Linked DNA regions of Callithrix jacchus. The protein of the gene in region 1 purifies or fractionates together with the protein of each later gene. This does not show direct contact. Links are inferred from orthologs where the notes say so. Each region holds a gene or a part of one and is shown in the gene's direction. Other genes may lie near its edges. The genes, in order: RAB1A, GDI2 and GDI1.

Region 1 (10,454 bases):
GATGGATTCTCACTGTCACCTGGGCTGGGGCTGGACTGCAGTGATGCAATCTCAGCTCACTGCAGCCTCTGCCTTCTGTGTTCAAGTGACTCTTCTGCCTCAGCCGCCCGGGTAGCTGGGATTACAGACATGTGTCACCATGTCCTGCTACTTTTTGTATTATATTTTTCGTAGAGATAGGATTTCACCATGTTGCCTAGGTTGGTCTCAAACTCCTGAGCTCAAGTGATCCACCCACCTCAGCCTCCCAAAGTGCTGGGATTATAGGTGTGAGCCACGATGCCTGGCCCCACTATGTATGATTTTTTAAATGTCATGTTCATAATTGAGGTATAATTTATGTACAGTTAAGTTACCCTTTTTTGGCACATAGTTTTTTCTTTTATTCTTTTTTTTTTGAGATGGAGTCTTGCTCTGTCGCCCAGGCTGGAGTGCAGTGCTATCTCAGCTCACTGCAACCTCCGCCTCCCAGGTTCAAGCAACTCTCCTGTCTCAGCCTCCCCAGTAGATGGGACTACAAGCGCACACCACCATGCCCAGCAAATTTTTGTATTTCGAGTAGAGACAAGATTTCACCATATTGGTCAGGCTGGTCTCAGCACATGGTTGTAAGAGTTTTGACAAGCATATGCATTTGAGTTACTAATCATCACCACAATGAAGATATAGGATAGTTCCACCAAACCCAGCTTGGGAAGCAGTGAGACCCCATCTCTTTAAAAAAATTTTAAATTAGCTGGGCATAATGGCACACGTATGTAGTCCCAGCTACTCAGAAGGCTGAGGCAGAATTGCTTGAACCTGGGTTGCAGTGAGTCGAGGTCATGTTAATATACTTCAGCCTGGGCAACAGAGTGAGACTCTGTCTCAAAAAAAAAAAAAGGAAAAAAGCAAGCTAATGAACAAACGGACAAATAGCCCTAGGATAATTCTGACAACAATAGGGCAGCCAACAGGGCTCACATTAGTTTAATGAATTAGATTCTGAGTTATTAACTTGAACTAGAAATGTAACTACTTCTAAATACCTAAACATAAAATATATTAAAGTTTGAGCTGGGCGCAGGGGCTCACGCATGTAATCTCAGCACTTTGGGAGGCTGAGATGGCCTGATCACCTGAGGTTAGGAGTTCAAGACCAGCCTGGCCAACACAATGAAACCCGTCTCTACTAAAAATACAATAAATTAGCTGGGCGTGGTGGTGCGTGCCTGTAATCCTAGCTACTCAGGAGGTTGAGGCTGGGGAATTGCTTAAACCCAGGAAGGGGAGGTTGCAGTGAGCCCAGATCAAGCCACTGCACTCCAGCCTGGGCGACAGAGTGAGACTCTGTCTCAAAACAACAACAAACACACACACTAATATATATATATATATGTGTGTATATATATATATATTAAAGTTTGAATCAGCAAAACTTTTAAAAAGTATGATTTTTAGCTACTTTAAATTTGGGAAGGAAGTCTTAATGTAATTGCACATAAATTTCAGTGGGGGTAGGAAACAACCACCTGCCACTCCTAGGCTAAGCTGCCTCTGATCTCTTTGTATAATATTCTACAACACGATAACTAAGCTATGAGCCCTTCTGTCCTTCGTACACAGCAAGTGCACTTAAGATTTTCAGGGAAGCTGAGATAAATAGATGTTGGGGCTCAGGACATACTTCCTCAAATGTCACTCTGGGGGACTAGAATATGCCCTCCTAAAATATACTTCTTTGGTGGCATATTTTGAGCTGGTTATTCTGAGAAAACTGCAGACACAGGAGTAGCTCTGAAAAGCTTTCCTTTTGTAAAATAAATGTTATGTCTATAAAGGAAATCTACATTAGTAAAGTATCTGTATCAGAAGGAGGGCTGCCTCAAGATAACTTTTATCACCTGAGAGACTTTTTATCTGCAAGGCTGGACAACCTTTCTTCACCACGCATTTCCCCTCTTGCCCTCCTGTAGTTTATCACTGCCTCTCCCAAGGCAGCAAGCCCCATTCTTTTTGTAAGATGGAGTCTTGCTCTGTCGCCTAGGCTAGAGTACAGTGGTGTGATCTCAGCTCACTGCAACCTCTGCCTCCTCCAGGTTGAAGCGATTCTCCCACCTCAGCCACCTGAGTAGCTGGGATTACAGGCACCCAACAGCACACCTGGATAATTTTTTTTTTTGCGACAGTCTCACTTTGTTGCCCAGGCTGGAGTGCAGTGGCACGAATTTGGCTCACTGCAATCTCCACCTCCTAGGTTCAAGCAATTCTCCTGTCTCAGCCTCCCCATTAGCTGGGATTACAGGAACCCACCACCATGCTCGGCTAATTTTTGTGTTTTTAGTCAGGCTGGTCTTGAACTCCTGACCTCAAATGATCTACTAGTTGGGCGTCCCAAAGTGCTGGGATTCCAGGTGTGAGCCACTACACCCCAACAAAGTTTTGTATTTTTTTTTTGAGATGGAGTCTTACTCTGTCTTCCAGGCTGGAGTGCAGTGGGGTGATCTCAGCTAACTGCAAACTCTGCCGTTTGGGTTCAAGTGATTCTCCTGCCTCAGCTTCCTTAGTAGCTGGGATTACAGGCACCTGCCACTATGCCCAGCTAATTTTTTTGTATTTTTAGTAGAGACAGGGTTTCACCAGTCAGGCTGGTCTCGAACTCCTGACCTCATGATTCACCCACCTCAGCCTCCCAGAGTGCTGGGATTACAAGCATGAGCCACTGAGCCCAGCTGCTAATTTTTGTATTTTCAGTAGAAATGGGGTTTCACCATGTTGGCCAGGATGGTCTTGATCTCCTGACCTGATGATTCACCCACCTCAGCCTCCCAAAGTGCTGGAATTACCTGAGAGACTTTTTTATCTGCAAGGCTGGACAACCTTTTATTACACCTTTTATATACACAACCATGCCCAGCCAGAGGTAATTCTTTGGTGGGAAAGAAAATAGTTAATTAAAGGAAGTTTGGGAGTATATTTCCCGGGGGAGGACAGATTGTATTTTTGGCTTAGGATGAGCTCTAGACACTTTTCTGAGGGGTTTTCGGGGTGTGTGTGTGTGTGTGTGTGTGTGTCTTTACTAGTGACTCAGGTCACAGTTTTCTGAGATTTTTTTTCCCCTAAGATGGAGTCTTGCTCTGTCACCCAGGCTGGAGTGCAGTGGCGTCCAGGCTCACTGTAACCTCCACCTCCGGGGTTTAAGCAATTCTCCTGCCTCAGCCTGCTGAGTAGCTGGGATTATAGGCATGCACCACCATGCCCAGCTAATTTTTGTATTTTTAGTAGAGATGGGGTTTCACCATGTCGGCCAGGCTGGTCTTGAACTCCCGACCTTGTAATTGGTCGACCTCGGCCTCCAACAGTGTTGAGATTACAGGTGTGAGCCACCGTGCCAGGCCAGTTTTCTTAGTTTTTATTCTTTGAAATTACAATAAGCAGGAAGGGTCATAGACTTTAGGGTCCAGGGTAATGATCACTTTTTTGTGCCTATTACTGAACCATTCAGGATACTCCTTGGTTGGTGACGGTGTTCATTTCAGAAGCCAGCATGTGAAGTAACTCATATAACCTTTGAAAATTTATCAACTAAGGCCCACGGCAGAATTTGAGGGTTAAGGGGTGTAATTAGTGTATAGGTAGATATAAGTGCCTTCTTTCTATATTTTGGCGTTGTAGTAATTTAAAGTGATTCTGCAGTAAGTCTCAGGAGACAATTTTCTTAGTTCTTAGAAGCTGTAATATAAACTTTGGACAATGTATTATACTATGCCCTTTGTAATTAAATAACTCAAGATAATGTGTTAAAGTTTAGTGGAGATTTAAATTCCTGCGCTGATTAAAGAGAGCTGTTAAGACCACAGGTTTTTAAAAAATGAGTTAATAAATAATACCCTCAGAAATTGTAGGCATTATGTAGTGATGAATTGCATGTTTTTATTGTTTATTATTTTCCAATCTTGCAGAATGGCTCAGGATTAGTAACAACTGAAAATAAGACATTACAACTCAACTTGAAGGCTGGCACGAAGGGAGGACTTGGATTTTAGGCTGGCTCTGGGCTGTGTCCCTCCCGTCCATGGAATGTGGAGCCACTGAAGGTTGTGGGGTCATGGTAGAGGTGCTGTCTCAGAAAGATACATTCGATTGTGTGCGCAAATGGGCTGGGGCGGAGAAGAGAGAGGCAGAGCCCATTAGGAGACTACTGCAATATCCAGGCTGACGAGTTAAGACAGGGGCAGCAGTAAGAATAAGAAGAAATCAAAGAAAATGGTAGTGCGCGGGGCCAACAATGGACGATGACCGAACCAAGTTGGGGCTGGGTGAGAAGTGAAAGAACCGCTCCGGGTTGTCCAGGGAGCCCCTTGACTTCCCTTCTGTCCTTAGAGCGGACGTCCTCCGACTAGCCAGCCGGGTGGCGCAAGCCTCAAGCTGGTTAGGTCAGCAAAAGCCACACCGGGGGCCTGAGCCGCCACGCGTGTCCCCCGCCCCCGGCCCCCTCCCCGCCCTTGCACCCCGGCAGTCTCTCCGGTTTGACCACTCCCTCCGGTCCCCAACCTTCCCCGACCCCCAGCCTCCGTCGACCGCCGGCACCGCCCTCCGCCTCTCTCCGCCCCTCTCCGCCCCCTCCCGCGTGGGGCGCTTACTAGCCCAGCTGCCACGTCTCACTGCTGACATCACCAGGGCCGCTCGGCCTTAGCCAATCCGCCAGGGGGAGTCAGAGCGAAGTCCTAGCCAGCGAGTCAGAGGGGAGGGGAGCAAGGAGGGGCGGAGGGTGGGGAGGTGAGGGAGTGGGGAATAGGGCGGGCGACAACCCTTCAAGTACGCATGCTCCAAACGCGCGGCGCTTGGCGGGAAGCTGAGTCTTGGCCTCCGCTCCGCACCGTCTGTTTTCAGCTCGCGTATCCGCACTCGCGACTCCCATTCCCGGCATGCCAGGCGGTGCGGCCGCCCTCCGGCTGTGTAAAGGCTCCTTGGTCTAAGGCTTCCCTATTTCCTGGTTCGCCGGCAGCCATTTTGGGTGGAAGCGATAGCTGAGTGGCAGCGGCTGCTGATTGTGTTCTAGGGGACTGAGTGGGGGAAGACGTTTGCTCTCCCGGAACAGCCTATCTCATTCCTTTCCTTCGATTACCCGTGGCGCGGAGAGTCAGGGCGGCGGCTGCAGCAGCAAGGGCGGCGGTGGCGGCGGCGGCAGCTGCAGTGACATGTCCAGCATGAATCCCGAATAGTGAGTTCAGGAGAGCACCGGTCGGCTGGGTCCGTGGGCCAGCTTGAGGGATCTTAAAGGGGGCAAGGAGGGTTGGGGCGGAAGTCGGAGCCTCAGCTGGGTTGAGGCGAGGGTGATGGGTCAGGAGAGGCTGGCGGCCGGGAGCCGGGCCCCATTGTCTGACGCGGAGGGGCGGCCGGGCGGGGGAGGGGTCGGGCCGGAGGGGTGAGACGCCCGGGCCTGGACCAGGTCAGGTTGGAGGGCCTGAGTGTGGGGCGGGTGCTGAGGAACTGTGCGGAGGGTCCTGAGGCGGTGTGAAGGGTTAGCTTTTCCTGGAGGCAGTGACTTTTGAAGGAGGACTTGTTTCTGAGGGGAGGGGATGGCGTGGGAGAGCCCTCCTAGAGGGCACTGGCAGACCCTGCGCCCGCACTCTGCGGAACTGTCAGGATCCTCGGGGTGGAAACCAGCTTTACTTGCAAATCCTGAGCTTCTTGGCTCCCTCTCCTTCCATCCTCTCCGCCAGGTTTCAGGTAATATGGATGCTTTTCGGGACTGCTTGGGATTGAGGGGAATGAGTAGATGGTGAGAAGCGATTTTTAAGTTCTCTTTTTTGAGTTGTGTCTTGGAAGAGTTCTTTAAGAACTCGGCGGTTCCATTGCCCTCCTAAAAACCTGGGCACTTGTGAGAATTTTTTTTTTTTTTTTTAGAGGACACTTAAGTCATTTTGTCTTCTGTAGGTCAAGGAAAAAAAACACACAGCTAAAGCCAAGGAATGTTTTTCTGATACTACCAGATTAAAGGAACCCTGCTGTCAAGTTGAAAGAGAAACGAATGGGACCTATGATAGATCTGTATGTAGGTTTTGGATTACCTGCTTGAATGATTGCAGATAGGGAATGATAGGCAATGAGGTTCCATGACGTGTCATGAAAAGTTAATGCATTTCTTTTTCTTGCTTACTCAAGAAGTCACGACAGCAGATGTGACACACCTGGCACCTTTCCTGGGAACTGGTGTTCACTTCCCTTGGGTAGACTTTGTTGGCTCTCCTCAGTGGCCCTTTAAAAATTTCCTCTACAGTTTACATATATGTAAAGTAATGAGTAATTGGAAGAGATAGAATTGGTATTTCTTTTCAGTGTCAAAAGCCTTTGAGGGATGGGGGAAATGAGTATTTGTTGTAAAAGTTGAGTTTATTTGCTGCTTTGATCAATTACTGCTAAACATTTTCCCCTAAAAGGTCCACCCACCAGTTTAGCTGACTGTCATGTGTGTGTCACATGGCTCTTGCAAAATGCATTCTTCAAGTTTTGTAACACTGGCTTGATGCTGAAATCTTTTGCACTAAACTGAAACCATAGTATTTTATTAGAATTTTATGCTTTAGAAGTTGACGGTAGTGTTCTTGTAGTGACATATTTACTTTGTTGACAGTTAAAAAAATTTTTTTTTCAAGGGCTCCAAGGACACAGTTGGTTTTGCACAGGTGAACACAGTTGAACTTGAGGTTCTTAATTTAGTGGTTTTCTTGGTAACAGTAAAGAATATGGATTTACCGCTCTATCAAAGTTCATAAACCTGTACTGTTAAGGGCTTTTTCTGAATTTACTATATATATGTTTAGTACTGTAAATAGATATTCAAGATTAGTTGAGAACTTTGACAAGTTAGCCTCTGAATTTATTTCCCCTTTTGTTAAATAGAATAATTGGAATCATTATTCCTTTCAGGGTAGTGGTGAAATTCAAATGCATATAAAAGAATTAGGAAAACTATATGAGCATTCTTCAGGTAGTATGCGTAATTTTCATGAAAGGCGTTCTATTAGTGCTAAGATTTAGGAATATAATCTTTATGTTTAAGGAGTTTAGGAATATAGATAAACATTTTATGCATGTCAAATACCAGTAAATGCAGCAAATTCCAGATGTGTGTCGTTGATGAGAGCAACAAGATTTCGGGGATGGTGGGTTGTGATTAGCTATCTGGGTTTTGGAAGACTTTATAGAAAAGAGACCTGAAAGGAAATTATCAGCAGCAATTGGATTTGGAGGAACAGAGGGAGTGAGAAGGAATTTTCAAGGAGGAGAAGCAGGAATGGCTCATAGATGACAGGGATAGTAATTCTTGAGTAAATGTGGTATCACATCATCCTTTTCTTTTGAAGACTAGATTAATGACCTCAATGGAATCAAATCCAGAAATAGTTTTTATATTTTTTCTGGCATCAAATACATGAGTATCTGGCCTACTATATTTGTAGTCTATCTAGACTGTTGAGTAAAGTAAAACAGGAATTTGGGAAAACTTTTGCAAAAATGTTAGTGGAAATTAGGGTAAGAGGAAGTGAGGGATATTTTATTAGGGAAGGTTACAAGGGCAGCCAACAATCAGATTTTTAGCAATCTGACTTTAGCAGGTTTTTTTTTTTTTTTTTTTGAGACGGGGTTTCGCTCTTGTTACCCAGGCTGGAGTGCAATGTCTCGATCTTGGCTCACTGCAGCCTCCGCCTCCTGGGTTCAGGCAATTCTCCTCCTTCAGCCTCCTGAGTAGCTGGGATTACAGGCACACACCACCGTGCCCAGCTAATTTTTTGTATTTTTAGTAGAGACGGGGTTTCACCATGTTGACCAGGATGGTCTCAATCTCTTGACCTCGTTATCCACCCGCCTCGGCCTCCCAAAGTGCTGGGACTACAGGCGTGAGCCACTGTGCCCGGCCTGCAGTTTTTTTAATGAAGCTTGTTACCTTTGTAAAAGTAATTAGAGAAAATTTGGAAAATAAAGGAAAGAAAGAAAAGTTCTTAATATTTTATCACCCAAATACAAGTTCATTTGTTTTTAACATCTTGTTCCAAACTCCAAAGTTTTATGCTTTCTCTTCATTTACAACTTTAATGGGTGGATGCTTTTCCTGCTTCCAGTATGTTATCTTAGTACTTACAATGGTGTATTAGCTAATGTTTACAAGTGTATTCCAGATGTTCCTTAACTTACTTTGGTTTATCATTACTAATTTATATTGTTTCTTTTAGAAATTTATAATCCGTGTTATGGGTGCTGCTGAATTTGGTAGTGAAAATGGATTCTTGACAAGAAAGCTTCTCAAGCAACAGAATTTTTAGATTTATATTGGTTTACATAAGAGTTGATAGCTGTATTCCTTTTTTTTTTTTTTTTTGAGACGTAGTCTTGCTCTGTCGCCCAGGCTGGAGAGCAATGGCGTGATCTTGGCTTACTCTTGCTGCGACGTCCGCCTCCCGGGTTCAAGAGATTCTCCTGCCTCAGCCTCCCTAGTAGCTGGATTACAGGTCCCAGCCACCATGCCTGGATAATTTTTTGTATTGGTTTAGTAGAGATGGGGTTTCACCATATTAGCCAGGCTGGTCTTCAACTCCTAACCTCGGGTGCTCCGCTTGCCTTGGCCTCCCAAAGTGCTGAGATTACAGGTGTGAGCCATTGCGCTGGGCCTTTTTTTTTTTTTTTTCTTTTTTTTTCTTTTTTTGTGAGATGGAGTCTCAGCCCCCTAGGCTGGAGTGCAGTGGCACGATCTCTTCTCACTGTAACCTCTACATCCTGGGTTCTAGCAATTCTGCTGCCTTAGTCTCCTGAGTAGCTAAGGGGTTACAGGCATGTACCACCATACCTGGCTGATTTTTGTATTTTTAGTAGAGATGGCGTTTTGCCGTGTTGGCCAGGCTGAGGCACGTGAATCACCTGAGGTCAGGAGTTCGAGACCAGCCTGGCCACCATGGTGAAACTCCAGCTCTACTAAAAATATAAAAAATTATCCAGGCATGGTGTCTAGTGCCTATAATCCCAGCTACTCTAGAGGCTGAGGAAAGAGAATCTCTTGAACCCGGGAGGTGGAGGTTGCAGAGAGCTGAGATCACGCCGTTGCACTCCAGCCTGGGCAACAGAAGGAGACTCCATCTCAAAAAAAAAAAAAAAAAGCAATTAAAAATGTAATCTGAACAGTGAAAAAAGTAGATGGAAAGAGTCAAAGCTTTTTTTTTTTGGATCTGAAGAAAAATTTGGAATTTTTTTGAGCTACATATTGAAGCAGGCAGTGATTATTTCAGCACACTGGTTAAGAAATACTTAACATGGCTGGGCATGGTGGCTTATGCCTGTAATCCCAACACTTTGGGAGGCTGAGGTGGGCGGATCATTTGAAGTCAGGAGTTTGGGACCAGCCTGGCCAACATGGTGAGACACTGCCTCTACTAAAAATACCCAGACTGGTAGTGCGCGCCTATAATCCCAGCAACTTGGGAGGCTGAGGCAGGAGAATCGCTTGAACCTGGGAGGAGGAGGCTGCAGTGAGCTGAGATGGTGCCACTGCACTTCAGCCTGGGAGACAGAGTGAGATACCATCTCAAAAAAAAAAAAAAAAAAAAAGAAATACTTAACATTATTTTTATACCAGAAACATTTTTCATAATCTATTGGCTTCTAGTGGATTTTTTTAGTGTTGAGAAAGTCATTTTGATTGCTTCATCTTTAAGGAATGTCTTAAGAATAAAGCATGTGTACCTTTCTTCAGTATACTAGCTAACTATTACAGGAAGAAATTTAGTAGTCTACTTGGAGCAACCATAATTCTTTAATGCAGAAAAATTACCTTGTTTTCAGCCCCCACCCCCTTAAGTCTATCATGGCTCCAGGATCTCTGAAAATTTTATCAGTCCTTCAGACTTTGCTTTCTTCTCATGGTAGTCTCAAGAAGCATTTGACTTTTTTTTTTTTTTTGGTCTGCATTGTGTTTCAAATATATATTTTTTTTAATTTGAGATGGAGTTTCACTTGTTGCCCAGGCTGGAGCGCAATGGCATGATCTCGGTTCACTGCAACCTCCGCCTCCTGGGTTCAAGTGATTCTTCTGCCTCAGCCTCCTGAGTAGCTGGGATTAAAGACACCCACCACCATACCCCACTAATTTTTGTATTTTTAGTAGTTTCTCCATGTTGGCCAGGGGTTTCTCCATGTTGGCCAGGCTAGTCTCAAACTCCTGACCTCAGGTGATCTGCCTGCCTTGGCCAACCAAAGTGCTGGGATTATAGGGGTGAGCCACTGCATCCAGCCTGTTTCGAATAATTTTTTTTTTTTAAAAACTTAAGTATTTGAAAGTGAAAGCAGTTTGTCTTTGTGACTTTTGGTGGTGGTGGTTTGAAAAACTCAAAAAAGTTTAAAGAAGAAAGATAACTAGTATTCTCATTGTCTAGAGTATGATTTTTTAATGTCCATAGAATATCAGCATCTGGTAATTCTTC
Region 2 (10,437 bases), on another chromosome or scaffold:
ACAAAATATACATTCTTGTCAATACCACATCACACCTACCCATAAGTTTAAATGAAACATTGATTGGCCATTATTAATACCCAATTTTTTTCAAAATAAAGCAATATTTCCATTTACTCTCTTTCTCTTCCTCTTTCTTTCTCTCCTTTACTTATTTATTTTTTTTCTTTCCTTCTCTCAAAAAAAAAGAAATCAGCTTGTAAACCTCTAGATCCAGGTCGGCAATGTCTCTTTCATTGCTTGATTTCCTTTCTTCCTTTCCCTCCCTCCCTCCCTCCCTCCCTCCCTCCCTCCCTCCCTCCCTCCTCCCTGCTTCCTCCCTTCCTTCCTTCCTTCCTCCCTTCCTTCCTTCATCCCTTCCTTCCTCCCTACCGTCCTTATTCCCTTCCTTTCTGCCTTCCTCCCCCCCCAAAAAAAATTATGTAAACTGGTAATTTGTTTAAAAAAGCATAACTAAGAATTTCGTTTCTTCATAAAATGGAAATATAAATATTTCTCCTGATGGTCTTGAGGTTATTATGAATAGTGCAAAGTTTGGTACACACAGTTATATCTAGAAGGGTGTGTATCTTACATACCTTATTTTAACAAAATGCATATAATTAATGCATGATAGAAAGCAGGTTTCAAATACAAGGCAGCCCCTCAGGCCACCATATTATTTAGATTTTACATTATCATTTATAGCATTATAGATTAATTACACATAACATACATTTATAGTTTTTTTTTTAAATTATAGTTTAAGTTCTGGGATACATGTGCAGAGTGTGCAGGTTTGTCACATATACTTGTGTCATGGTGGTTTGCTGCACCTATCAACCCATCATCTACATTAGGTATTTCTCCTAATGTTCTCCCTCCCCTATCCCCTCACCCCTGTACAGGCCCTGGTGTGTGATGTTCCCCTCCCTGTGTCCATGTGTTCTCATTGTTCACCTCCCACTTAGGAGTGAGAACATGCAGTGTTTGGTTTTCTGTTCCTGTGTTAGTTTGCTGAGAATGATGGTTTCCAGTTTTATCCATGTCTGCAAAGGACATGAACTCATTCTTTTTTATGGCTGCATAGTATTCTGTGGTGTATATGCACCACATTTTGCTTATCCAGTCTATCACTGATGGGCATTTCGGTTGGTTCCAAGTCTTTGCTCTTGTGAGCAGTGCTGCAGTAAACATATGGGTGCATGTGTCTGTACAGCAGAATGATTTATAATCCTTTCTGTATATACCCAGTGACGGGATTGCTGGGTCAAATGGTATTTTTGGTTCTAGATCCTTTAGGAATCACCACACTGTCTTCCACAATGGTTGAACCAATTTACACTCCCACCAACAGTGTAAAAGTGTTCTTATTTCTCCACATCCTCTCCAGCATCTATTTATTGACTATTTAATGATTGTCATTCTAACTGGCATGAGATGATTTCTCACATGGTTTTGATTTGCATTTCTAATGACCAGGGATGAGCTTTTGTTCATATGTTTGTTGGCTGCATGAATGTCTTCTTTTGAGAAGTGTCTGTTTTGAGATGGAGTCTCGCTCTGTCACCCAGACTGGTGTGCAGTGGCGCGATCTTGGCTCACTGCAACTTCTGCCTCCTGGGTTCAAGTGATTCTACCATCTCAGCCTCCCAAGTAGCTGGGATTATAGGCACCTGCCATCATGCCTAGCTAATTTTTGTATTTTTTGTAGAGACGGGGTTTCACCATGTTGGCCAGGCTGGTCTCGAACTCCTGACCTCAGGTGATCTCAAGGTGCTGGGATTAAAGGCGTCAGCCGCCGTACCCGGCCCAACTTTCATGCATTTTAACCCTTAAGAAAAGTAATTGTTGTTTGAAAAAATTATTTCATGTAACCGTTTGGTTTTTATCTGGAGAAACTAAACCTGCATGAATTTAGTGTCTGCCAAGTCGGAATCAGTAGCTCAAGTCAGTGCATCAGATAATATGTGACACATTTCACAGTGACTTGTTTCCCAAGGCCTGGCAATGCCTCTTCTCCCAAGTATGCCAGATGATGAAGCATTTCCAGGATTATCCTTCTATGTGGTTTCCTGTTTCATTTTTTTTGCATTATTTTGTCTTCTCCCCTCTTCTGTGGCCTTCCATTTTAATTATTCATAAATCCTTTCAGAATAGCCCCAGAAAGCTATATAAGGGGAAGTTCTGGAGATGGAAAATCCAAGGGAGGAAGGTTGGAGATTGGAATGTCCTTTGCTTTCCGGGTATTTGCTGCAAACTTTTGCCAGGCTGAAGAGGCTGTAGAGTTTCTAAATGTGGCAGCTAGCTCCATAACTCTGATGTTTCTACAAAATTAGCATCTACATCCAGCTCCTTTTCTATTGGACCTTTTAGAAGTCTGCCCTTTTCAGCCTTTAGTTGTTTATTTTCTTTCCTTAATCTTTAATTCTCAGCCAGAAGAAATTCCACATGCCTCTTCAAATCTGCTTCTCTATAATTGTTTTATCATCTTTTGGGTCCTTGCTTCCAATTCATAGCTCTGTTGGCTCACTCTTTTGCTGAAGTAAAAATAGTAGACCAATATAGCTATTACTGGTCAGAGCTTTTTTTCTTTTTTTTGGGAAGTGAACCTAGAGAAATGGCGGACTTGCCTCTGGTGCAGATAGTCCTGCAACTGCCCAAGGCCATTTCAGAACACACATGAAGAGACAGGAGAATAGACAGTGTGGGTTTTGGGAAAGAGCAGAGAAAACCCCAGACATTGTATGGCTTTAGGCTTTGCTCTTGTGAGCCTCCTGTCCAGGAGGGCCATTAGTGTCCCCAAGTCTCTCCCAACCCCGTGAGCCATCCATCAGGGTGAGCTGAGGGATAAGTTGTGGAAGCAGAGCCGCTGTGGCTGAGAAGAACTGTTCTGGTGGTTGCTTAGCAAGCTGGAGAGTGAACGCGGGGAAGCAAACTGTGTATGGGGGTTGAACGCCTCCAGTGGAAGAAGATGAGGCGTAGAGGCCTCTTACCGCTAGGGAATGTATCTGAGTCACGTGGCACCAAAGTGTGTTACTGGTGGACGGTATCCGAGTCACAGAGGCACCAAAATATATTATTGCACTGAGATGAATCCGTATGGGTCTGCAGCAACCTCAGTTCTTTTCTCCTCAGAAAAAAGAATGGCCAAGGGATACAAGGCAGAAGGGATGACCTGGGCAAGTTTTAGAGCAGGAGCGAACGTTTATTCAAGCTCAAGTAGAAATGAAAGGAAGGAGAGAAAGTACACTTAGAAGAGGGCCAAGTGGGCAGCTTGAGAGATGAGTGCCTCCTTTTATTAGTCAGTCAGTTATCAACACCAGCTCTGCGTGTTTGCTGGCTTGAGATACCGCTTTGTGTGTGTGTGCTCATGCTTTAATCACTTTTAAGCTGACATCTTCCTAGAAGGAAATTGAACAAATAAATGCATATTGCCTATAACTCATTAAGATCTAAGGAAGGGGACTTTAGTAGTTGAAACGATTATATATTATTAATTGGGATTTAAAAAATTTTTCAGGCTAAGTGCTATTTATGGAGGTACCTATATGCTGAATAAACCCATTGAAGAAATCATTGTGCAGAATGGAAAAGTAATTGGTGTAAAATCTGAAGGAGAAGTAAGTAGCTTTTAAAATGAAAAAAAAAAAAAAATACTGTGTTCTGGTGAAGAAAATTGTGTATTCTAAATATTTATTTTGGTGTGGACACTGATGTATATGGTTTCTGTATGGGAGGTTGGTGTTTATCGTGACTAAGGACTAGTTACAGATGTTGTGCTCTATTTTAAAAAACATAACTAAAAATTTTTTTTTGTCAATTATTTTAATATTCAAACATGCATTATGGGTAAGCTCTAAATGGTAAGTATTCAGTGTTCTTAGTTTGGGTTGTGCCTGTCTCCCAAATTTTTATTTAAATTGATCTATACTTGCTGGCCAACTACACGGGTGTGGAGTTTTGAGCAGCGTTGCAAGTTTGAATTACATATGAAGCATTGTTAATCTGGCTCTAGTGTATGTTCTGATTCGGTAGGTCTGAGAAGGCTCTGCATTTCCTTGAAACCTCTCAGGTGATGTGGATGCTGCAGGGAAATAAAAGATCCATTTCCCTTTATTGCCGTATGAAAGAATTCTTCCGCCATTTGACACAGTTACTGTCTGCAGCAATTCCTGGAGTAGAGGATGCACTCCAAGTGTACTGCTTTACTGTCTGTCCCTGGAATCCTGCAAATCTCAGCTTTATCTTTTTAATATGAAGCTGTATGGAAATGTAGAAACCTCCTGGGTGGTGGGGTGGGGGGCATTTTCAGCCGTTTAGATGTCACTGGAAATGAAAGTTTGAGATCAGAGTTTGGTAGCTGGTGTAAGCGGACAGTGAGTAAGAGAGAGAAAATACAGGACTGACCTAGGGCAAAAAAAGCCTGGTAATAACTTGTGAAGCACATTTTAAATCTCATTTATTCCTTACAATGTCTTAAGAGGCAGGCATTACGTCCAGGTTATACTTGGAGGCTTAAATTAAGAAACATCTACAAGGGCACATAATTCCGTGAATGGCTGGGGTAGAATTGGAATCAAGGTGTTCTTCACTCACAGCCCTGTCATGATACACCTGAGGATGTAAACTCCTGTGCTGGGTGGTGTTGGGTTTGTATGTTTTATCTACTAAAATGTTACTCAATTATTTATTTATTTGAAACAGGGTTTTGCTCTGACACCCAGGCTGCAGTGCAGTGGTGTGATCTCAGCTTCCTGCAACCTCCACCTCCCAGGTTCAAGCAATTCTCCTGTCTCAGCCTCCACAGTAGCTAGGATTACAGGCACATACCACTATGCCCAGCCAATTTTGTATTTTTTAGTCGAGTCGGGGTTTCGCTATTTTGGCCAGGCTAGTCTTGCTAGTCTCAAAACTCCTGGCCTCAAGTGATCCACCCCCCTCAGCCTCCCAAAGTGTTGGGATTACAGGTGTGAGCCACCATGACAGGCCTCTAAAATGTTACTTAATTGGATCTTTTGAACATATATTTTAGGCAGCTTCTTTATAACCCCCTTTCATCTTGTCTCTGTCCTAGTTTCTCATCTACTTTATATGAAGTTACAAAGCACAAAAGAAACCATATTTTGTTTGACATGTTTATTACTAGGTTTTGTTAATGCTGACTGAATGCTCAGGCATATCAGTACAAACAGCACTGTTTACCATCTGGGTCCAGCAGACTCCACACAGCCACCTTTGTGTGTGGCATCATCAGTCTCACTATCTTCCAGCTCCACGCCGGGAGATCTTCGTCAGGGACAGTAACACTGCCTGTGCTTTCAGCATCATAGTTGTTTAGGAGCTAAGAGATAATTGTTTTTTTTATTTTTTATTGTTTTTTGGAGACAGAGTCTCACTCTGTCGCCAGGTTGGAATGCAGTGGCGTGATCTTGCCTCACTGCAACCTCTACCTCCCGGGTTCAAGTGATTCTCCTGCCTCAGCCTCCCAAGTAGCTGGGGCTATAGGCGCCTGCCATCAAGCCCAGCTAATTTTTGTATTTTTAGTAGAGATGGGGTTTCACCATGTTGGGCAGATGGACTCCATCTCTTGACCTCATGATCCACCTGCCTTGGTCTCCCGAAGTTCTGGTATTACAGGTGTGAGCCACTGTTCCCGGCCAGGGATAAGTGTTTTAATCTGACTTCTTAAAGTTGTTTTTATTCCATATTATTCTTTTGTTTCATTCTTCGTGTTTCTGAAGCTTCAGGGCTTTACTATGAAAAGGCTTTAATACATTTATTTTGCAATGAATGGTTTTCTTAGAAAGCATAGCCTTAAGATGGTAAGGATTTTGGTCTATTTAGAATACATTTATTGAGCATTTACTTTCTGTCAGGACACGCACATATAATGACAGACTTTTTTACACCATTTCATTTAGTTCACTACTGTCCTTTTGGCTTCCCTGGGGGCCACATTGGAAGAAGAATTGTCTTGGATCACACATAAAATATGCTAACACTAACATAGCTGGAAAAAGGGTCCATGCATAATTTTAATGATATCTGCCACCACAAATAAGCAAAAATGTCCTTGCATTCAAGAGGTTGGACATGGGAGAATTTTAGTCCTAACAACAATCCTTTGAGGTTAGGTAGAGCCAGGATTTGAACCCTGAGCTGCCCAATTCTAAAACTTGTACCCTGAATACTGTGCAACACAGTTTTCCTAGTATTTTAATAGGGTTTACAGTTCATGTATCTGTTCCAGGAGAAAATATGTAGGGTTATTGACAAAGCTAGCTTTAACAATCACACTTCAATAGTTAACCTCAACTTTTTATATGTTAGATTATGAAGATAACAGATTATATTCAAGGTAAAAATTACATTAATACACTCTTGAAAACATTGCAGACACTGAATGTTAGTCTTTTTTCCTCCAATTTTTATAAATTGTAATAAAGTACACATCAAATTTATCTTTTTTTTTTTTGGAGACGAGTTTCGCTCTTGTTGCCCAGGCTGGGGTGCAGTGGTGTGATTGCGGCTCCCTGCAACCTCCACCTCCGGGGTCCCGTCTCAGCCTCCCAAGTAGCTGGGGCTACAGGCACCCACCACCTCACCTGGCTAATTTTTGTATTTTTAGTAGAGGCAGGGTTTCTCCATGTTGGTCAGGCTGGTCTCCAACTTCTGACCTTCAGGTGATCTGCTCACCTTGGCCTACCAAAGTGCTGGGATTACTGGCCACTGCACCTGACCCTTTGATCATTTTTGAATCTGGGTTGTTGTTGTGTTTTAGGAGTTCTTGATAAATTGTGATATATCCCTTATGAGATATATAATTTGCAGATATTTTTTCTCATTCTATGAGTTGCCTGAATTCTTGATTACTGTCTTCTGATGCACAATTTTTTTTTTTTTTTTTTTTAAAAGAGACAGTGTCTTGCTCTGTTGCCTGAACTGGACTTAAACTCTTGGACTCAAGCAATTCTCCTGCCTCAGCCTCCCAAGTAGCTGGGATTATAGCCATATGCCATAATGCCTGGCTATGTACAAAATTTTTACATTTTCATGAAATCCTGTTTTCATGAAATTTGTTTTTCTTTTGTTGCCTGTGTCTTTGGTTTTAGATCTAAGGAATCACTGCCAACTCCAGTGTCATGAAGGTTTTGCACTGTTTTCTTCTAAGAGTTTTATAGTTTTAGATATCACATTTAGGTCTTTCTTCCATTTTGAGTTAGTTTTTGTGGGTGGTGGTAGGTAGGGGTCCAACTTCATTCTTTTGCATGTGGATAGTTTTCCTGGAACGATTTGTTGAAATGACTGTTTTTCTCTCATTGAATAGTCTTCACAACTTTGTCAAAAATCATTGTACTGTGGAGGTGAGGGTTTATTTCTGGCCTTTTTCCGTTTCATTGGTCCACGTTTGTCATTATGCTGGTACACTGAATTGATCACTATAGCTTTTTAGTGAGTCCTCCAGCTTTACTGCTGTTCTTTTAAGATTGCTTTGGTTGTTCCAGAATGCAATCCCTTGGGAACCAATATGAACCATAGGATGGTTTTTGATATCTTAACAATACTAAATCTTTAAAACCATGAACGTGGGATTTGTTTCCATATATCTGTGTCAGCTTCAGTGTCTTCTTAAATGCTTTGTTACAGATTGCTCGCTGTAAGCAGCTCATCTGTGATCCCAGCTATGTAAAAGATCGGGTAGAAAAAGTGGGCCAGGTGATCAGAGTTATTTGCATCCTCAGCCACCCCATCAAGAACACCAATGATGCCAACTCCTGCCAGATCATTATTCCACAGAACCAAGTCAATCGAAAGTCAGGTGAGGTTTGAAGACCAGGAGATGTTCGTAGATTTTTTTAAGATATTATTTGCTTTGTGTTTTATTTCAAATTGTGTATGCTCTATTAGTGAACAGACTTTGGTTTACATATGAGGGGGAAAATGTCATCCTTGTACCACTTCCCGGTCCTGCAGCATTGTGTTGACAGGGACAGGTTCAACTTGGAGCCAGCCCTAGATTTGTGTCCATCATCTGTAGAATGAACAGACTGGGCTAGGTGAACCCTGAGGCTCCCAGCTCTGACTAACAGTAGGTGCCTATAGAGGACACTACAGTTACTTGGATGAGTAGTATACAGACCAAGTCTAATTGAGAATTCTATCTAATGCCAACTCAGAAGTGGTTTATGTGGATTCTGCAATTTAACGTTACTTTAGTAAGTCAAAGAGGACATCAGTACTAAATACATCCTTTCTTAGCCATTCAAAACCTTTCCAAGTAGTCCAGAATGGAAGAAAAGCCCAGAATAGTTAATATGGTTTGGCAGCTTTTTTCAGTTAGGTATGACAGAGCTGTTAGGAGATCTCATTCCAAAGTTCAGCAGTTTGCGACCACATAAATTCTTAATCTCTAGTAAGTTAAAAGAAATGCCTATTGTTAACTATTTGTGTATTTTACAACTCTGTGATCATTTAGAACTTTAAGTGTAGAAGATCTTGCCTATTAAGTCACTGTAATTCACACCCACATATGGTTGGCACCTGAGTGTGCTGGGCCCCAGATGGACACACTTGAGCAGTGAGCTGGTGGTGTTTGTTTCTAGATATCTATGTCTGCATGATCTCCTCTGCGCACAATGTGGCGGCACAAGGGAAGTATATCGCCATAGTTAGTACCACTGTGGAAACCAAGGAGCCTGAAAAGGAAATCAGACCAGCTTTGGAGCTCTTGGAACCAATTGAACAGAAGTGAGTTGTGTTCTTTTCTATCTGCCAGGATGCAAACTGAGGCCTTTGATTGTGGTTCCACGGTGGGAGGAATGTGAGGGCAAGGCAGGTGGCCGTTGGCTGCTCTGTGGGTCATACATACCTCAGAATTTCAGGCAGAGCCAGGGTTAGGTGTGGAACCAGCTCATCTGACTCAGTTCTCTCTCCCTCCAGATTTATTAGCATCAGCGACCTCCTGGTACCAAAAGACTTGGGAACAGAAAGCCAGGTGAGTATGGAGGTGTGAGAGGATACGGGCAGGTTCACTGGAAGGTATCCCTCCACAGTCTTAAGTCTTTGTAATTTTTGTTTTCAGATCTTTATTTCCCGCACATATGATGCTACCACTCATTTCGAGACAACATGTGATGACATTAAAAACATCTATAAGAGGATGACAGGATCAGAGTTTGACTTTGAGGAAATGAAGCGCAAGAAAAACGACATCTATGGGGAAGACTAACAGCAGTACATGTTATTATCCAGTTAGGACAAATTTACAATGCGGCAAATAATGCATATGATATGAAATCAGTATTGTAAGGCCTGCTTTTGTAATCAAAGTGGAGAATGAAGAGCGCTGTGCCAGTAAATACTCCCCCCCCTCCATCTTTCTAATATTATGTATTAACTTGTTTTCGTGGAGTGGCTATTCAGAATTGGCAGTTACCATATTCTGTTCAATTAACCAAACTGGCTTTCTTTTTTCTAGTGGAGGATCAGTTGTAAACATTGGGATACTGATACTGAGACAGTATTTGTATGTTTAATCAGTGTAGCCTTTGCAGTTACGTGCTGCTGCTCAAGAGCTGGATCCATACAGGTTGTGTGCCATCTGTCCTCTTGACATTGAGGAGATTCCAAATTGAATATTCCACGGTTTGGGACGGCATCCAGAAGTTTTCCCTGTGACTTTATATTTTGTATTATGTCAAGTGTTATGGCAGGGTCCAAATAGCATAGCCACAAATTTGGTTTACCTGGGCATAATATTCTAACCAAACTCCAGACATAGGGAGTCATGTGGAGAAAGCCCGAATGTGGTGTTTCGATCTAATAAAGTTGATGAGGGAAAAGGGGAGAGGAAGCGAACATAAAGCGGGTACAGTGTAGAGAGCATCTTTTGTCTCAGGCGTGGCTTCATCAATGGACCAAGCTGCAATGCAGTATCGACTTGACAGAGCCTCTACTTCTGTCTCAAAATGGCTCCAAATGATTTCTGTACTGCAAAATAAAGCCAAATTCTGGAAACCACTTTCCTTTATGTGTCCTGATTGCCAGGGTCACAGCTGCTGTGCTTCCTTCAGTAGCACTGGAGTCAATGCCAGTCAGAAGGTGCTGAGCAGTGGAGAGCGTGGGCGTCTCCTGATCTGGATGGATTACAGCCGGTCCTGTTGTCTGGCATCCCTGTGAGTACACCTCAAGTTTTATTCTTGACACAGTGCAATTACTAGACTCTGATAATCTCGGTTTAGGAAAAACATTTTTGTGGACAAAATGCAGGTTACAGTGTTTGATTTTGCTTATAGCAGCAATTGTAAGGGAGTAAGTGAATCGTCAGGGAGAATAGGTACTTTATAGTTTTCCTGTAATTGAAATGGTAAAGTGTGAGCCTTACTGCAGATGCTGTTTACCACAGATAAAGACTGACTCTTATGTGGAGACAAAGGTAGATGATGTGTTAAGAGG
Region 3 (10,537 bases), on another chromosome or scaffold:
ACTAAAAATACAAAAATTAGCCAGGCGTGGTGGTTCATGCCTGTAATCCCACCTGCTCAGGAGCCTGAGGCAGGAGAATTGCTTGAACCCAGGAGGCGGAGGTTGCAGTGAGTTGAGATGGCACCACTGCACTCCAGCCTGGGGGACAGAGTGAGACTCTGTCTCCAAAAAAAAAAAAAAAGAACTGCTGTACTCTTACCTCCTATCAGGGTTACTTGGGTCTGAGTCTCCTCTTCTGGGCAAAAAAAAGAAAAAAAAACACCAATTGAAACCTTTATCCTTATGGAGCAGAAATGCTGGCTTCGGGGTAAAGGCCTAGGGCCTGAATGTCAGGGGCTGGGGTATGGGCCATTTTCTTGGTGCGGCTTTGTGGATGTGGCTTGCCAGAGGAGAGCTGCTAGAGAGCTTTGGGGGCTGGCCCAGGCCCACTGGCCCCTGGCTAACTCACCTTTTGCTTTTTCCCTGCCCCAGAATGCCCTGGAACTGGCCCCTTCCTCACTGGTGCTTCCTGCCGTTGATTGGTATGCAGTCAGCACTCTGACCACTTACCTGCAGGAGAAGCTTGGGGCCAGCCCCTTGCATGTGGACCTGGCCACCCTGCAGGAGCTGAAGCTCAATGCCAGCCTCCCCGCCCTGCTGCTCATCCGCCTGCCCTACCTGGCCAGGTACTGCCCACATGGCCCAGCCACCAGCTTCAGGTCCCAGACAGCAGCAAGAATCTGGGCATGGCATGTGGTAGCACCATTCAGCCAAATATGCTAGTACTCCCCACCCCTCACAGCCCTTCCAGAAGGTGCCCAGTGTGGCCAGAAGAGGTGGGGAGGGCTCTGGCCCATGCTGCATCCCATACTGCACAAGGGTTCAAAGACCTAAGAGGGAACAGCAGGGGATAAAGAAAGACACAAAGACAAACATAACATAGAGAGCTGGGCCAGGCGGTCCGAGAGATGACGATGTCAGTCTCTTTGGCCCCCACCTGCCTCAGAGTACTTTATCTTATATGTTTACAAAGCACACAGCAGAGGGAGTGCAGTTACTTAGAACAGCCTGTGGTTATAATTCTCACACTTCAGTTAACTATGTTGCAGCAAGGTCAGTAAAAGCTGGTTATCTTTCTCTATATCCATCTCCACTTCTCTGAGACATACACATTCCCCTATTATGGTTTCACTTCTCTGGAGTTCACCCAAAGTTCGCAGCAGCCTTGCTGCTGATCCCCGCGGAGCGAGTGGGCTACTCTGGCTCTCTACAGAGGGCCTTTTCTGTGACTCAGGACTTGGTGCCTAAAACTGAGCTGGGCCTCCAGAGATGAGGCAGATGTGAGCCCTGCAGGTAGGGAGCCTCCTCACCTAGCCAGGTCGTTGTCACAGAGCAGGTGGCCAGGACTTGAGTGTGACTGTGAAGCCTGGGGGAGGGCTGGGCTTCCAGGAGGGGGTACTGAGGTAAGAGTGTACAGGCTTGGTGTATGGGGTTAGTGGGGAGGAGAAGCTGGGGAGGAGGAAGGGTAGTGGGCAGTGCAGGTTCAGGCCACCTGAGGACTCTGATGCTCTGTCTGTCTTCCATAGCTCTGGTCTGATGGCACCCAGGGAAGTCCTCACAGGCAACGGTGAGTGGAGTCAGGGAGGATGCATGTCCTCATCCAGCCCTTGGGCAGGGACCACAGAGAGAGCTGGCCTGCAGTTCCTCAGCCTCCTCACTCCCAGGGTGGCCCACCTGCTTCTCGAGGCAGCTGGCAGTGGAGCAGGGAAATGCTGGCTTCTGGGACTAGCCAGGGACCACCTGGCAGAGGACCCTGTCCAGTCGGACCCCACTCGGCAGAGGGGGCCTCTGCACTGGAGCCTGTGCAGCCAGTTTCTGCGCAGGCAGCAAGCATCCTAGAGTTACGGGTTTACTAGACTGCAGACATTTGGAAAAACAATTCTGGGACTTACCTATTTGCGATAAAGGACAGTCACTCCCCATGGAAAGGCAGTCTTGATCCTTTTGTGGGTAGATGGGAAGTTTTCTGTATCTACATGTATTTTCTCTTGTCACATAGGTAGGGCTTCACATTAGGGAGTCGATTACTGAAGCCACAGTTGTCCCTAGGGAAGCTGGAAATGGGGGTGGGGGGATGGGATGAGAAACAGCTGCTCCTAAGGATCTTCAGTGGAAAGTCAAATCACCAATTTCAGCTAGTCTAGAAGGTTTCTAAAGCAGACGGTGGGAGTGTTTCTTTAAGCAGGCTGCCTGATGACCTGGGTCTCTGCTTCCTTCTTGACCCTCAGATGAGGTCATTGGGCAGGTCCTGAGCACACTCAAGTCTGAAGATGTCCCATATACAGCAGCCCTCACAGCGGTCCGCCCTTCCAGGGTATGTGCCCTTCCGGCAGGGGCTCTAGGGCATGTGGGGAGAGGCAGTGTGGTGAGTCTGCCTGGAGGTGGGGATGTATGCCACAGGCAGGCCCCCCGGGGGGTCCCAGCATAGGGGAGGCATCAGGCACAGAACCCTTGTAGTGTGACTCTGGAGTGGCTGGTCCTTGGGCTGACTCTGGGGGAGGAGTAGGATGAGCACTCAGGTCCTGCCTCCCCATTCCAGGGGTAGCTTTCTGTCTTGTCCTGTAGACTTGTGGGTGGCAAACTCGGACACTAAGTCTAAATGATCCTAAGTTTGAGGGACTAGGAATGTCATCAGGACTTAGGGGCCATCAGGGAAAGTCTCCTGGAAGAAAGGCTGGTAGGACTTTAAGAGAGTGGACAGGGTGCCCTGTGGGGGGACATGACAGTTGAGTTGGAGCAAGACAGTCTCCCAGGGCTGCTAAAAGAAGGCTGGTTGGGTGTTTCTGCAGGTGGTCCGTGATGTAGCTGTGGTGGCTGAGGGGCTAGGTCGCCAGCTGCTACAAAAACAGCCAGCATCACCTGTGATCCATCCTCCTGTGAGTTACAATGACACCACTCCCCGGATCCTGTTCTGGGCCCAAAACTTCTCTGTGGCGTACAAGGACCAGTGGGAGGATCTGACCCCCCTCACCTTTGGGGCGCAGGAGCTCAACCTGACTGGCTCCTTCTGGAATGACTCCTTTGCCAGGCAAGGGCACTAGGCTGGGGAGGACTGGGCCACCACAGGTGACCTTTCCAACACTGAGGGTCACAGGTGGGGCAGGGAGCCAGGGTCAGGTCTGTGTGTTGTGGTGGGGATGGCCATGGTCTCTTTGGGGTCTGGGCAGCATGAGGATGCAGGAGGTTGCTGTTGGAGGGAGTTGTCCAGACCTCTGCCTCCCCATGCTCGTGAGTCTTTGGTTGGGACCTTCATTGTTAACATGTCAAGGTTACCTGGGAATGTGTCACCTCCCCCTTGAGCAAAATGTCTGGGACTGTGTATGGGTAAATACCAGGCCAGCTACCTGAGCCATTTATGAGGCAACCATGCCCTTCCGTTTGCTCTCACCCCTGAAGCCCAGCCCAGGTACCTCAGTGAACCTAAGAGGGAGCAAAAGGGGCACTGAGTCCAGGGGAACCAGAGGAAGGAACCCCGTGCTGGTGGCAAGGAGGACCTAGGTCCTGACTTTCAGCTCTGTTCTGGGCTTGGAATGTGACCAAATCCCCAGTTTTCCTATCTGTCAAGTGGGGACACTGCTTCTTCAGGTGGTTGCAAGGACCCGAGGCAGCTTAGGTAGGGAGCAGAGCTGAGGAACTTGTTCCTCGAAGGTGCTGAAGGCCCTCCCAGGGCCTCACAGTGCGCCCCTTTCTCTGGCCCTGCAGGCTCTCATTGACCTATGAACGACTCTTTGGTACCACGGTAACATTCAAGTAAGTCCTGGGGGTGGCTGAGGTGCGGGTGGGCTGCTGTGACTTCCGCCTCCCCGGCTCACCTGACATCCCTGCCGCCTTTCCCAGGTTCATTCTGGCCAGCCGCCTCTACCCAGTGTCCGCCCGGCACTGGTTTACCATGGAGCGCCTCGAAATCCACAGCAATGGCTCCGTCGCCTATTTCAATGCTTCCCAGGTCACAGGACCCAGCATCTACTCCTTCCACTGCGAGTACGTCAGCAGCCTGAGCAAGAAGGGCAGTCTCCTTGTGGCCCGCACGCAGCCCTCCCACTGGCAGATGACACTTCAGGACTTCCAGGTATGGAGCAGGGGTGGCCCAGCTTCAGGTCATGGAGCCAAGGCTGGTGGTTGAGAGGCAAGGAGAGGCCCAAAGAGTCACAGAATTGCTTGGGCACAGGCTCGGGCCTCCCGACGGTCCTTTCTGACCCCTGTCTGTGTGTCTGCCAGATCCAAGCTTTCAATGTGATGGGCGAGCAGTTCTCCTATGCCAGCGACTGCGCCGGCTTCTTCTCCCCCGGCATATGGATGGGGCTGCTCACCTCCCTCTTCATGCTCTTCATCTTCACCTATGGCCTGCACATGATCCTCAGCCTCAAGACCATGGATCGCTTTGATGACCACAAGGGCCCCACCATTTCTTTGACCCAGATTGTGTGACCCTGTGCCAGGAGGGGGTTGAGGGTGGGACAGTGTCCCTCTTCCTACCACAGCATGAACCCCAAGCTCCCTTTAGCCCATCTTGCTCCCCGTTCAGCCCACTAAGGAGATTTCCTGGGGCTGCCCCCATCCCTACCAACAAGGTGTACATAATTCTGCGTAGATGCTAGACCAATGTCCCAGGCTCAGCCGCGGTGAGGCGTAAGGGACATGAATTCTAGGGTCCCCTTTCTCCTTATTTATTGTGTCTACATCATCCCTGGCTGTGGATAGTGCTTTTATGTAGCAAATGCTCTCTCCTTAAGGTTATGGGGCTCCCTGAGTTTGGGGGTGTGGAGGTACTACTTAACTGTCTGACCTGCTTTGCTGTCGTTATTGTTTTCTGGTGATGCTGTGCTAATGATAAGCAGTACACTGGGGTTTATTTCTGTGGCCTGAGAAGGAAGGGACCTCCACCCCAGGTGGGCTGGGTGCAATCTCCAGCTGTCTGGCATGTTCCCATCGGGAGTGCCTGGCAGGAGCCTGGCGTGCTCGGTTGTTTCCTTCCTAATAAACGCGGATCGCCACGATTTGGGCCTCTTGTAGGTCATTTCTGCACTGGGCTTTAGGTGCGTGCTCGCTGGAGGGATGCGGGAGGATGGAGCCCGGTGAGGAAGAGGTGAGGAAGCATCCGCGGAGACCTGGAGGGGCTTTAGCAGGGTGGGCCCTAACCACTTAGGGCAGGAAGGGGCGGTCGGGCCGAGTCCCGTTACGCTTTGGCGACTCGGGAGGCCGTCGTGACAATGGCAGCCTTCGTATCATGAGGGGGCTGCCCCGGCTGCCGCAGCGGCGCGCACCCGGCCGCGGGACCGCGCCGAGCCTCCCGCGGGGCTGGGCGGGCGCGCGCGGGGCGGGGCGGGGCGGGGAGGATGGGGCGGGGCGCGCGCGGCTCCGCGCACGGATCCTTTCCTAGCCGCAGTACCGGCCGCCAGCCCGCCCCGCCCGCCCCGCCCCGCGCCTCTCTGGACCCTCGGCGAGCAGCGTCGTCCTCGGAGCCGCGCTGGTGCTGTGGCCCGGGCCCTAGCAGGTCTCCTGGGAGGCGAGCTGGGGAAACGGTGGATCTGGCCGGGCGCGGCGGGGCTCGAGAATAGGCGGGACTCTTTGACGAGGCGGAGGGGTCAGGCGGCGACCGAAACGCCGCCATCTTTGGTCCAGTGCTGCGGCGGCGGCGGCGGCGGTGAAGGAGGAGGAGGAGCCGAGCGGGCACTGGCACCGAGGCCTGACCATGGACGAGGAATACGATGTGATCGTGCTGGGGACCGGCCTCACCGTAAGTGCGGCCCCAGGCGCTCTTGGCCCCGTGTCTTGCCCTCGCCACCCCCCGCGATGATGTGGCCGCCGGCCCACCCTCCGGTCACTGCCATCTGATGCGCTCGGCTCTCCAAAAAGCCGGCACCGTGCCCACCCCGCCGCTCCCCGCGCCGCTCCCCCCGCGACGTCGCCTCTGCTTTTTGCTATGACCCCATCTTCCCGAAGGGGCCCCCTTCCTGGCTGCCCGGGTCTGACCCCCGGCACCCTCCCATCTTTCCTACCCCTGTGCCTGCTGGGCCGGAAAATGCACCCCAGCTAAGCCCGGTGCCCCGACCCCGCCCACCCATCGCCCCCACCCATCACGGAATCTCCCCCCCTCCCGCAGGTTGCCCGCACCCATCGCCCGCTTAGCGTCCCTTCCCATCTTGCGCTAATCCCGGTAGGGACAGGGACATGGGGTCAGGGGGCCTCCTCAGGGTGGGCCCTCAGCCCACCTCCTCGTCTTCTGGGGCCAGGGGATCCAGGGAATGTTCCAGAAGGAGCAGCGGTGGGGGCAGTAAGCACATTCCCTCAACCCCACCCCGGTTGCCTATGGAGACCTCAGGCTGAGTAGCATCTGCAGCCTTTGTCCTTGGGCTAGTGACAGTGACGGGTGAGGGTATTTATCTTCCCCTTTTCCCCAAAAACCCCGTTGGCCCGCTCCCCAGAGAGACTCTTCTTTCTCAGTCCAAGCCCAGATGCCCCTCATCAGCAGCAGGGTCTCCCGCCATTTGAAGAAAGATCAGTCCAGGGTGGGGCCTACAATTTCAAGGACTGCGCTAAGCCTTTCTTCACCTCCCTTTCGAGTGTCCTTCGCAGTCCAGCTAGGTCTCGTCTGCGCCTCATTGTGTTTTAACAGCCTTTCTGTGCAGCTCTGCGTAGATACATGTCCATTGGCTTGTGGGTACTGGAAGGCCATCCTGTGTCTGCTGGATGCCCTGCCTCTCTCAGAGCCTCCATTATTTCACTGCCTACCTTGTGAGGGGGATGGGACTCCTTTGCCCAGCAAGGTTACAAAGGAGACGGTGGTCAGATGAAGCTGTCACCCCAATTTTAGGCGAGGCAACTAGCTGGTTTGAGGGGGTGGAAGGAGCTGTCCACTGGATCAGGTTTGGGTGGGGAACAAATCAGGGCTGCTGGTAGGAAGGGAGGCAGGTAGGAGTGAGAGGATGGTATTGCCCTCCCTCCAGGAATGCATCCTGTCGGGCATCATGTCTGTGAACGGGAAGAAGGTGCTGCACATGGACCGGAACCCCTACTATGGGGGTGAGAGCTCCTCCATCACACCCCTGGAGGAGGTGAGACATCTGGGCCCAGGCCCATCCCTGTTCACCTCCCACGTAGCGGCACAGGGTAGAAGAAGCTCCCCAGGTGCCTGGAGCAGGAGGAGATGGTCCCTGAGGTGTCTCTCTTCTGCTTACAGCTGTATAAGCGTTTTCAGTTGCTGGAGGGGCCCCCTGAGTCGATGGGCCGAGGCCGAGACTGGAACGTTGACCTCATTCCCAAATTCCTCATGGCTAACGGTGAGGGACAGGAAGGACATATTGCAGGTCGGGGTGATGGGGAGGTGCAGCCAGACCAGCAGAGACTCTGGAGAGAGCAGTGCCGATGTTGCCCCATGCACACCCACAGGGCAGCTGGTAAAGATGCTACTGTATACAGAGGTGACTCGCTATCTGGACTTCAAGGTGGTGGAGGGCAGCTTTGTCTACAAGGGGGGCAAGATCTACAAAGTACCGTCCACTGAGACTGAGGCCTTGGCTTCCAGTGAGTGTGGGCCCCCTGAGCCAGAGAATCATGGGGTGGCAGGGAAGTTGACTGTCCTTGGGATGGGTGGCTGTCCAGAGTAAGGCACCCCCTTGTCCAAAGTCACATTCCCCATGAAGAACCAGAGGCCCTTCACTCTGTATCCTCTCTGCCCCATGCCATGCCTCACGGATGGCTGCCAGGAGAGAGGCCTACACGCAGCAGGGATGTGACGTGGAGGAGGACAGGGCTCCTTTGGAAAGACTTGACCTTTTGGCAGGGGCTCCACTGGATCCCCGAGACATCCCCAAATGTCCGAGCAAGGAAGGCCCTTAGAGCCATCCAGGCCAGTCCCCTCTTCATAGAGGCAGGGAAACCGAGGCTGAAAAGAGCGGAGGGGTTGAGCTAAGGTCCCACAACAGCTACACTGGGAGTGGGGCCCTGCCCTTTGGGAAGGAGAGTTTTGTGCTGCGCTGGTGCAGAACCTCGTCCTGCCGCCTGCCTTAGATCTGATGGGCATGTTTGAGAAACGGCGCTTCCGCAAGTTCCTGGTGTTTGTGGCAAACTTCGATGAGAATGACCCCAAGACCTTTGAGGGTGTTGACCCTCAGACTACCAGCATGCGTGATGTCTACCGAAAGTTTGATCTGGGCCAGGATGTCATCGATTTCACTGGCCACGCCCTGGCGCTCTACCGCACTGATGAGTGAGGGAAGCTGGTGTGGCGGCAGCCCCCTCGCCCGGCCTGCCTCCTCCCTCCCCACACCTGCCTGCTGTTCCCCTGCCCCGCATGTCTCTTGTACTCAGCCATAGGCTCACCTATCACCCTTTCCATTTCCCCCTTGCATTTGATCTTCATGTTCCCTAGGCCATTCAGGGTGGTGGGAAGACTGGCCTGGTACCTGGGTGGTGGTGAGTCAAGGGTGCTGCTATTGGAGCATCTTCCCTTACCCCTGTCCCCCAGCTACTTGGACCAGCCCTGTCTTGAGACCATCAACCGCATCAAGTTGTACAGTGAGTCCCTGGCCCGGTATGGCAAGAGCCCGTATTTATACCCGCTTTACGGCCTGGGTGAGCTGCCTCAGGGTTTTGCAAGGTGAGGACGTGGGTTTTTTCAGTTGGCATTGGCTGAGTAGGACTAGGGCCAGGAGTGGAGCTGGCCCCTTGAGCATTTCCCTGCTAGCATTGGTCTTCATTGACTTCGCTCCATCCTTGGCTGATGGGGGCACAACCCCAGTGTATCGAAGTCAGAGTCGAAGAACCAAGTCTCCACAAACAACTTGCTCAGTTCCTGGAAGCACCAGGACTGGGCCCAGGGCAATGGAACCTTGAGTCAGGGCTTAGCTGGGAGCTGACCTCCAGAGAGGACCTTCATTCTGGTCCCCCAGGCTGTCTTGGTGGGTGTGGAGCACTCCTCCTTCATGCCACCTGCTGCTGACCCTTGACAGTGTATTCTGGGGAGAAGCTCCAGAGACGAAGAAGCCTGTCGAGATGGGGCCAGAGTTCACAGCAGTGACAGAGCTGGGATGAATCCCGGGGTCTCTTGCCTGCTGCCTGCCTGGGGCAGCCTTCTTTGCACCTTGGTGGAGGGAAGGGTGCAGTGGAATTGGTCCCAGTTTCTCCTGGGAGGGGCCCTCACCGTGGCTATTCTCACCACAGATTGAGTGCCATCTATGGGGGGACATATATGCTGAACAAACCTGTGGATGACATCATCATGGAGAACGGCAAGGTGGTGGGCGTGAAGTCTGAGGGAGAGGTGAGCCTTCCCCATGCACTGCTGTCACCATGGTTGAGGTGGGGTGTGGCCACCTTCTTCTTGACTGTGCTGTTGGGTCTGCTGCTACGCAGCCTCAAGGGCCTTGCAGCTGGGAACTAGGGGTCCAGAAGTCGTCAGAGCCATGTCTGTTGGTGAGGGGTCTGAGAGTCCACATGCCACGTCTGTGGTGCAAAAGTGTTCTTGATCACAGTGCCCATGGGGGGCGGGGCCGGGCACCCGGCCTGTGTGTCAGGGCCCACCTCAGAGCTGCAGGGCAGGGCCATGCATTCAGGAGGGGCAGTAGTGATGGCTCTGAGGAGCGCCTTGTCTGCCAGAGCTGCTTGCCCTTGCTGTGAGTACAGCCCCAGGACTACCTAGGGGAGTGATATGACAGGGGTGAGGACCTCTGGTGCCTTTTCAGGTGGCCCGCTGCAAGCAGCTGATCTGTGACCCCAGCTACATCCCAGACCGTGTGCGGAAGGCGGGCCAGGTCATCCGCATCATCTGTATTCTTAGCCACCCCATCAAGAACACCAATGACGCCAACTCCTGCCAAATCATCATCCCCCAGAACCAGGTCAACAGGAAGTCAGGTAGGCCAGGCGCCGGTCCAGCTTCCTCCAGGGTGTTCTCTTTGAGGTTGCTCTTTATCTCCCCATCAGCGTCGGAGCTCCTTGCCTTATCTCTCCGAAGAAAAAATTTGACCCACATTGCAGTCACCACAAGTTGGATCCCTAGGGTTTGGGTGGACTGGAGTCTTCCCGTTTGGGAAGGTGACAGCTTGGATGCTACCTGCTCTGTGGGGCTGGGGAGGGGCAGGCGGGCCAGACTTGCGTCCAGCTGCTGGAACCCCTCTCTGCACACGGCTGGTGCCTCCAGCCTGAGTTGACAGAGCTCTTCCTGTGGCCAGACATCTATGTGTGCATGATCTCCTACGCACACAACGTGGCGGCCCAGGGCAAGTACATTGCCATTGCCAGCACTACCGTGGAGACCATGGATCCCGAAAAGGAGGTGGAGCCAGCTCTGGAGCTGTTGGAGCCCATTGACCAGAAGTAAGGGACTTGGCTGAGCCTGGGGGTGGAGAGGGAGGGAGCCCAGGAGCTGGGCTTAAGGACCCACAATGGGCATGGCCCATTGTGAGGCCTGTCCCCTCCCCTCCATCTGCCCCTCAGGTTTGTGGCTATCAGTGACTTGTATGAGCCCATTGATGACGGTTCTGAGAGCCAGGTAAGC

Evidence for each region.
Region 2: the proteins of RAB1A (region 1) and GDI2 purify together in Homo sapiens (affinity purification with mass spectrometry; 6 studies listed by BioGRID and IntAct, counting the BioPlex papers as one, with this or other methods). This does not show direct contact. The link is inferred for Callithrix jacchus from reciprocal best matches to the Homo sapiens genes RAB1A and GDI2.
Region 3: the proteins of RAB1A (region 1) and GDI1 purify together in Homo sapiens (affinity purification with mass spectrometry; 7 studies listed by BioGRID and IntAct, counting the BioPlex papers as one, with this or other methods). This does not show direct contact. The link is inferred for Callithrix jacchus from reciprocal best matches to the Homo sapiens genes RAB1A and GDI1.

The regions. Positions count from the first base shown.
Region 1 is NC_133515.1:48,809,808-48,820,261, forward strand, and holds the start of RAB1A (ras-related protein Rab-1A), read left to right. Parts: upstream 1-4,989; 5' UTR 4,990-5,180; coding exon 5,181-5,203; intron 5,204-10,454. UniProt on the Homo sapiens protein: The small GTPases Rab are key regulators of intracellular membrane trafficking, from the formation of transport vesicles to their fusion with membranes.
Region 2 is NC_133508.1:8,008,845-8,019,281, forward strand, and holds the end of GDI2 (rab GDP dissociation inhibitor beta), read left to right. Parts: intron 1-3,502; coding exon 3,503-3,602; intron 3,603-7,629; coding exon 7,630-7,801; intron 7,802-8,585; coding exon 8,586-8,730; intron 8,731-8,922; coding exon 8,923-8,977; intron 8,978-9,064; coding exon 9,065-9,211; 3' UTR 9,212-10,002; downstream 10,003-10,437. UniProt on the Homo sapiens protein: GDP-dissociation inhibitor preventing the GDP to GTP exchange of most Rab proteins. By keeping these small GTPases in their inactive GDP-bound form regulates intracellular membrane trafficking.
Region 3 is NC_133524.1:150,227,444-150,237,980, forward strand, and holds the start of GDI1 (rab GDP dissociation inhibitor alpha), read left to right. Parts: upstream 1-5,648; 5' UTR 5,649-5,731; coding exon 5,732-5,776; intron 5,777-6,986; coding exon 6,987-7,094; intron 7,095-7,219; coding exon 7,220-7,319; intron 7,320-7,428; coding exon 7,429-7,563; intron 7,564-8,049; coding exon 8,050-8,248; intron 8,249-8,506; coding exon 8,507-8,638; intron 8,639-9,201; coding exon 9,202-9,301; intron 9,302-9,722; coding exon 9,723-9,894; intron 9,895-10,211; coding exon 10,212-10,356; intron 10,357-10,476; coding exon 10,477-10,531; intron 10,532-10,537. Other genes in the region: ATP6AP1 (V-type proton ATPase subunit S1), read left to right, coding at 472-665, 1,566-1,606, 2,268-2,353, 2,829-3,067, 3,742-3,789, 3,877-4,108, 4,258-4,467. UniProt on the Homo sapiens protein: Regulates the GDP/GTP exchange reaction of most Rab proteins by inhibiting the dissociation of GDP from them, and the subsequent binding of GTP to them. Promotes the dissociation of GDP-bound Rab proteins from the membrane and inhibits their activation.